Cricetulus griseus: one gene and its partner. The protein of the gene in region 2 interacts with the protein of the main gene of each other region in a pairwise test. Links are inferred from orthologs where the notes say so. Each region holds a gene or a part of one and is shown on either strand. Other genes may lie near its edges.

Evidence for each region. The genes of interacting proteins can lie anywhere in the genome.
Region 1: the proteins of Hras (region 2) and Rgl2 interact in binary tests that used the Homo sapiens proteins (3 or more experiments, as listed by UniProt). The link is inferred for Cricetulus griseus from reciprocal best matches to the Homo sapiens genes HRAS and RGL2.

The regions. Positions count from the first base shown.
Region 1 is NW_023276806.1:232,080,042-232,083,101, forward strand, and holds part of Rgl2 (ral guanine nucleotide dissociation stimulator-like 2), read right to left. Parts: coding exon 2,942-3,060; intron 2,840-2,941; coding exon 2,789-2,839; intron 2,702-2,788; coding exon 2,404-2,701; intron 2,150-2,403; coding exon 1,898-2,149; intron 1,778-1,897; coding exon 1,674-1,777; intron 1,594-1,673; coding exon 1,509-1,593; intron 1,427-1,508; coding exon 1,358-1,426; intron 1,225-1,357; coding exon 1,150-1,224; intron 430-1,149; coding exon 397-429; intron 292-396; coding exon 170-291; intron 69-169; coding exon 1-68. UniProt on the Homo sapiens protein: Probable guanine nucleotide exchange factor. Putative effector of Ras and/or Rap. Associates with the GTP-bound form of Rap 1A and H-Ras in vitro.
Region 2 is NC_048596.1:59,992,129-59,996,594, reverse strand, and holds Hras (GTPase HRas), read right to left. Parts: upstream 3,101-4,466; 5' UTR 3,026-3,100; coding exon 2,947-3,025; intron 2,076-2,946; coding exon 1,924-2,075; intron 1,737-1,923; coding exon 1,558-1,736; intron 1,425-1,557; coding exon 1,265-1,424; intron 1,171-1,264; coding exon of another isoform or gene 1,089-1,170; intron 605-1,088; coding exon 485-604; 3' UTR 479-484; exon of another isoform or gene 362-478; 3' UTR 63-361; downstream 1-62. UniProt on the Homo sapiens protein: Involved in the activation of Ras protein signal transduction. Ras proteins bind GDP/GTP and possess intrinsic GTPase activity.

The DNA.
Region 1 (3,060 bases), on a different chromosome or scaffold from region 2:
GCCGAAGCATCCGTGCAGCCGGAGAGTCACTGGTACCAGGTGGTTCCACGTCACAGGACACACGGTGACTGGAAAGCATAGTCATGGGTGGAGGTCACAACATGCCACCAACACATCACACCCACGTCCCCCAACCTGAGCCCTAGAACCCAACCACCCAGCCAGTCACCTCTGAGCTTCAGTTAATGGCTGGAGGCCCTGGAGCCATTGTTGGATATCGGGGTCAGGTCGGAGGTCATAGCCACGACATTCGTTCTGGAGGCGCAGCAGCTCCGAAAGGACAGCAAACTCCTGGGAAGGAGCCCTCAAACTGCAGGAGCCAAAACTCAGGGACCCCTGAGTTTGCCTCCCTCTCCCCATTCCTGGGACAGACAGGGAGCCCCGTAGTCATCTTACCTTCCTCCGCTTGTCAAAATTAATGTAGCCGTTCTGCAAGGGCAGAAGGAGAGGGGTGAAAGCGCTAACCCTGCTCGGGCACAGAGCACCCGCTCTCCCCAAACACAGCCAGTGCAGGAGCCACTCAGACCCTGGGAGTCCACCCTCTCCCTCCCATTCATATCCCAGCCCAAACTCGTCATGAGACAAGGTCTCACTGTGTGTAGCCTTGGCTGGCCTAGAACTCACTATGTAGCCCAGGCTGCCCTCTTCCCCCTGAGTACAGTGCTGGGATCCCAGGTGACGCTCAGCTCCACCCAAGGCTTTAAATTCCTGTCTAAGAGAAAGCATCTAACTTCTAGATGAGACATTGGGCTCACGGCAGGCACAGAACTTCCTGGACGCCTCAGTATTTTCCTTTGTCTGCAGTACTGGGGGTGGAACCCAGGCTCTTGAGCATGCTCGGAGGCCCTCACACTCTTTGCACATTTAATAGCCTGCGTATGCATTTACCCCTCCCATTAGATAACAGGACATACACAGACAGACCCCTGAAGTACAGAGGTTGGGAGGTTGGACTATGTGCCAGGGTAACAGAACCTGGCTCCAGAAACTCTGCTGCTTCTGCCCTGTAGCCTCTCTGTGGAAGGGTGTCTGTCTGACCCTTAGGTGCACTTGTCAAGCCTTCCAGAACAGAGTCCTCCCTGCCCTCCCTTCTTCCCTCCCCCCCCTCTCTGTCTCTCACACGCACGCACGCACACACCAACCACTGACCTCCAACTCATCCTTGGAGGCTGCATCCAGCATCACGAGATCCTTCAGGAAGGTCCCTAGGTATGGAACCACACCCTGCAGAGGGGTCAGGGTCAGACTCCTGTCAGGACACAGCTTTTCTCTCCCTTCCCTCCACACAGAACTGTCTTCATTCACCTCACCGGGTGAGCCGAGCCGAGGCGCCCCTTCCAGTCCCAGGGTCACTCACCCCACCCCTGGAGCCAGACCTTGGGGCTTTCTTGGAGTGTGGCTCTGCAGGGGGCTGCAGCTTCACTTCCTGGTGGTGACAAACAAGGTGACAGGAGGAGGGGGCTGGGCGGGGGCTGGGGAAGGGCTGGGGAAGGCAATACTAGCCTCACCTGCGTGAGGAGCTCTCTGCTCTGAGAATAATTGTCCTCCTCTGAGAAAATCTGGCACAGGCTGGAAAAGACTCTGAGGCTGTCCCTAGGGGGAAAGAGCGGGGCTCTGAGCACAGGCCTGGCTCAGCTTCTGCACCCAGGCTTCAGGCACTTGGGGTCTCCCACCTGGCTGCTTCCCCCCAGGCTGCCCGAAGCCTGTGGACAGGGCTGGACTGCAGGGCCGACACGACAGCATAGACTGAGGAGAAGTTCCGAAGCAGACGGCACTCCTGTGAGGACGGAAAACCCAGAGTCAAGGCTGTGGGCCCTCCCCACACCACCACCGTCCCCAGCCAGCAGGGCGGGGCCTCCCCACGCCACCGTCCCAGCCAGCAGGACTGCTCTCTTACCTCCGCCACACGGATCCACTTCTCCAAGAGCCGGGCCCTCTGCGGGGGTCGGAGTGGCCTCACGGTCACCTCACCTGGCCCCTCTCCAATTGAGGTGGCCCCCAGCACGGAGCTGACTACTGCCCCTGCCACCTTGTTGAACTGTGTGACAGTCGCTCGGACAGATGGGCAGAGGTGAGAATGTCCTGGCCGGTCTCTGTGACCCCACAGGCCTCCCAGACACTGAGAGGGGATCAGATTGAGAAACAGCTCCTGCAGGGCAGAGGTCACAGGTTAAAACTTATAGTCAAGCCAGGCAGGTTCCCAGTATCAGGGATCTGAGGCTCTTAAGTGACCAGGGACCAGCAGGGCACACAGCTCGAGGATAACAGCCAAGGGGAGGAGGGAAGGGAGGAAGGCCAGAGCAGAAGATGGAAGAAGAGCTCCAGGAAGCAAGGAAAGGATCTGGAGCCAAGGAGAGGTTAGTAAGGGGTCAGAGAGCACAGGGTCAAAGGTCAAGGTCTCACCGCATCTAGCAGGGTCAGCTGTTCGGCCAAGTGGTCAGCGAGGAACACCAGGACATCCGTGGGGTCAGCAGGGGAATCGCCAGGAAGGGCCAGGGGCTTAGGAAGGTTGGGGGCCCGGGGATCTACCCGGGCCCGGAGGTTTCGGATGAGGTCAGCACTGCCCCCCCCAACACCCTCCTGTGCTGCATACCCTGTCCGAAGCAAGAAGCTCTCAAGCCGGTCAAGCTGACCCTTGACCTCAGAGCCAAAATCCTCAGGGTGAGAGGCCAGCCAGGTTGAAAGCACGGAGATGGCTACCCTGGGAGAAGGGGAACCAGCCGAGGGTCAGAGGTCCAACCTCAGCTTCCTCAGAGGGGACTGACTGAGGTGGTCAGGGGCCACTCACCCTGTGGTCCTCTCTAGCTCACCAGGAGGCTGCGACTCGAGGGCTTCCAGCCTGGGGATGAGGAGAGGGTCTACCTATGCGGCCTTTTCAACCCCCGGGCGCTGTGAGGGCTCACAGGAAGTCCAGGAGGCCCCTCAACCCTTGGTCCCTCACCTGTCAGCCACAAGCCCAAGCAGGGCAGGCGTGGAGGTGAAGGCCCGGTGGGTGGCCAGCAAGGCTGGAGTGAAAGTCACGTCAACCCCTGACGTCCGGGCATCCAACAGGTATCTGAC
Region 2 (4,466 bases):
GGTTCCCAGTATCTTCTGTGAGGCCACAGGCACTACACCTCCTGCTCCCAGCCAGAGACAAGTCAAGACCATCAAATAATTTACTGTAATTCAACCTGTGCCCCATAGGCACCCGAAGGGAACTGAGAGGGGTTGAGGACTGGGGTGCCAGTGGCAATAGGGACAGTTCATGACACAGTCTGTTCCAATTGTCCATGCGAAGGTCTTGGTCACCTCTGTCCACCATCCCTGGACTGGACTGGCTCCAGCATCGCTTCCTTCCTTCCTTCCCTTCTCTTTCCTTCCTTCCGTCTGCACCTCCTCCCTGCATCCGGCACCTCCACGTCCTGAGCCTGTGCCGGGACGGGCACAAAGGACACCACTGACCTCAGGCAGGGAGATTGGCAGGATGGGGGGGAGCAGGGACATCAGAGTGGATATGAAGTTCATCTGGCTAGCTGGGGCCACTGCCCCAGATGTCTGCTGGTCCCTGCCTCACCTGGTGTCAGGATAGCACACACTTGCAGCTCATGCAGCCAGGGCCACTCTCATCGGGTGGGTTCAGCTTCCGTAGTTTATGCTGCCGAATCTCACGTACTAGTGTGTAGAAGGCATCCTCCACACCCTGGGAACAGAGGGACTGGATCAGAGGGGACTCCAAGGAGGAAAGGGGTGCTGTTTGGGTAAGAAACTCCCTGCCTGGATCAGGTAACACCCCAACCCTGGAAAACAACCCTTCCTCGGCTGCACAACCAACACAAATAGGGAGCTGGGCTCTGCACATCTAAAAGGCACAGGACCACTCTCCTTAAGTAGGCTCACTCTGGAATATCCTTCAGAGCAACTCGACTCAGAACTCTCCCAGACCCCCAGTATGGCTCAGGTCTGAACACCCTGCCCATACTTAGGGCTCAAAACTAACAGGTACTCATAGGACACTATGAGGACAAGAAGGACTAGGCTCCTGGGTCACCGCTCCGGCCTGGCTCAGGGCAGCTCTCTCCATGGACCCCCTCCTGCCCTGGCGCTGTGTCAACCCAGAACTGCAGGGCATAAGCCCAGACCCTGGCCCTTGCCTCCCTCACAGCCCTGCCGTCTGGGAGACTTACAGCATGGGGGCCGCTGGGTCACATGGGTCCCGGGGGGGTCCCAGAGGGTCCCGGAGCTGGAGCCAGAGCCAGAGCGGCTGCCCTGTGTTGAGGGAGAGGGGCGATGAGCTCTGCTCCCTGGCTGGGGTGGGGTGGGGTGAATCCCTGACTAGCTATGGAGTGGGGAGCAAGCTCACCTGCCGGGTCTTGGCTGATGTTTCAATGTAGGGGATGCCATAGCTGCGGGCAAGGTCCTGGGCCTGCCGAGACTCAACAGTTCGAGCAGCCAGGTCACATTTGTTCCCCACCAGCACCATTGGCACATCGTCTGAGTCTTTCACCCGCTTGATCTGCTCCCTGGAAGGGGATGGGGAGTATGTGAGCCAGCTAGCAGGTTACAGGCATGGCTGTACCCAGGACACTCAGAAGACATAAACCCTCAGTGTGCACATGGAACCTTCCTCACCTGTGCTAGCCATAGGTGGCTCACCTGTACTGATGGATGTCTTCAAAGGACTTGGTGTTGTTGATGGCAAACACACAGAGGAAGCCCTCCCCTGTGCGCATGTACTGGTCCCTCATGGCACTATACTCCTCTTGACCTGCTGTGTCTAAGATGTCCAGCAGACATGTCTCCCCATCAATGACCACCTGTTTCCGGTAGGAGTCCTGTAAAAAAAACAGAGCTTAGGCGTTCCACCTCTCCTCAGAGAATCCACAGAGCCCACCCACCCTTGCACCTCTCATGTTCTGATAGATTAGGTGGCAGCAGACCCATACCACCTGCAAGACCTAGCTATGTGGGCCTTCCTGACTCTTCCATGACCACTGCCAGAGCCAGGTAGCCAGAGCTCACCTCTATGGTGGGGTCATACTCGTCCACAAAATGGTTCTGGATCAGCTGGATGGTCAGGGCACTCTTTCCCACGCCTCCAGCGCCCACCACCACGAGCTTGTATTCTGTCATCGCTTCTATAGAGGCTGCCACTCCAGGAGCTCCTGCCCCACCTGCCAATGAGAGCCACACTTATCCAGGCCCGGGCCACTTGAGACTGCTAGTAGATGCCTGACCCAAAGGCCCTAACCAGCATTGAGCAGGCAGGCCAGCCACCACAGTGGCCCAGTCACTCACCTGTGGCACCTCCAGCTGGGACAGGGAGGCCCCCCACCTCCTCCACCAGCACTTAATGGCTGTGTGAGGAAGCAGGGAGAGGCCCCCAAGGCAGGGCTGACAGCTGAGAGCTTCTCCCAACCACGCACCCAAATTAGAAGTCGCTAGGTAGGCAGAAAGCCTCAACGGGAGGTGCCTGAGGGCTGAGGCCACCCCCCAAAAACAGGTCCTGCCACGGCGGACTCAGCGTGCCCAGGCAGGCCAGTGCCAGCCTACAACCGGCTCCGGCCCGCCGGCATGTGGGTGCAACCGACAAGTATTTACTGAGCGCCTACTGCATGCCAGGCGCGGTCCGGGCAGCGGGGGAAGGGTGGCTGGAGAGGGACCCTGCCCTCCGCTGAGACAGACCTTCCACAAGAGGCCAGGGAGCCTTCAGCAAGCAGGGGTGGAAAAGCGGCTGAGGGTGTGGGAAGCAGGTGACTGCGGGAAAGACTCACAAGGGGCGCGAGGGGTGACTGGGGAACAGAAGGCCCTGATTGGGGCCTGAAGCGGGTGTCCTTGTAGCCCCGAGGCCGGAGCGTGATGGCCGCGGGGCGCAGAGTCTCCGGAGGCCCGGGCGGCGCCTCGCCGGGAGGGCGGCTACAGGCGGGGCGGGCCGGGCCGGGCCGCAGAGGCGGGCAGCCGGGCGCTAGGCACGCTGCCGGGGTGAGAGGAGAGGGGAAGCACCGATCACCTGCGCCCCGCGCCCCACCCCACGCCCGCACTCACCGCTTGCTGGAGTGACTGCCCCCGGGGCCGGGGCCGGGGCAGGGTGGGGGCGCGGACCGGCGCTGGCTGGGCCGCGCATGAGCTCCGTCCGCGGCGGGTGCGGCTCGGGCTGCGGGCGCCGGGCGCGGACGGCGGGGACTCGGCCGGGCCCGCGCTCGCCCCGCCCCGCTCCGCCCCGTCCGTCAACTCTAGACAGTCGGTGATTGGTCGAGCTCCGCCTCACCGCGACCTGTTGTGGTTGGCTGAGCGACCCATCCGTCAGGAGCCGCAGCTAGGCGGGGCTTCCTGGAGTAGCAGAGAGAGCGCTGTCGCGACCTGGGTACTGCACTCAAATGAGTGACGCCTAGTTCCGAGGTGCGGAAGAGAATGAGGGAACCCGAGATTCCTCCGGAGAGAAACTGGGGTACGCTCGGGTTGGGTCGCGGGGCCTGCCACAGAGCCCACACTCTGCAGCCGCTCCAGAGGCCCAAAGGCCCTGGGAGCGGAAAGGTCATTCCGACCGGGACCTGGCGTCGGGGACAGTCAGCACCGCGGACGCGGGATACCAGAGGAAGGCAGAACCCGCCGGAACCCCAAGCTGCCTGTTCTCGGAGGCCGAGGTGTAGCGAAGGCCCCATCCCGAGGCAGCATCGGCCCATCACACCGCGCTCCTTGTGCTTTGGAGAAGACCCTCCCTTACCTCCCCCAAAACTCGAGGTCCCAACCCTGCAGCAGCTCATACTGTGCCCCATTTGAAGAACGACCCCGGAAGTCAGAAAAGTTGGTATTAGGGCGAAATGAAATGTTCCATCCACTCATGCAAGTAGGGTACATCTGTGTCAGACGCAAATGACATGTTTGCAACTTTTTGAAAATTTCAAAGAAACGAGTAAGAACGTCCTCCTTAGAAAACCGACAGGGCTTTCTCAGGTGATGCAGGCCTGGGGACGCGCGCTCACGTGTATCCCGGGGTGAGAGCTAGGCTCGGCCGATGCGGCCAGCAGTCAGATAACCCAGAGCGGGACAGAAACCTCTCACGGGCAACTCTCCGAACCTCTGTGGGCGTCTTCTCATCCGTCTCGCTTGCCTGCCACTCAGGGGAACCCTGCCACCGGATCTGCCGCGTGTCCCGGCAACCGTTGCTAGGGGGCGGGGCTCATCCTGCCGCAGCCCCGGATGCCCGCGGCTCACGAATATTTGGGTATTCAAATGAGGCCCCGCCCCCGTTGCCATGGCGCCAGGGCCGCAACCCCACCGCGGAGGAAAAAATAAAAAAAACCCTCACTTGAGAGAGCGACCGCCTTGGTGGAGGGGTCCAGGGCTGGGCCCCTGGTCTCGGGCATCCTGGCCCACCCCTCAGGTGAGAGCTGCCTCTTCATGTCCCTTGTGCTAGGGGAAACCTGGAGTGGGGCCTACATCTTTTGGGGCAAGACACACTGGACTGAGTAAGCAATAAACCATGAAGTGCAGTGGAAAGAGGTAACTCTTACTACAAAAATGTATCTGGGAAAGACAGGTAAGAAGTGCAGGAGTTAGAGGTC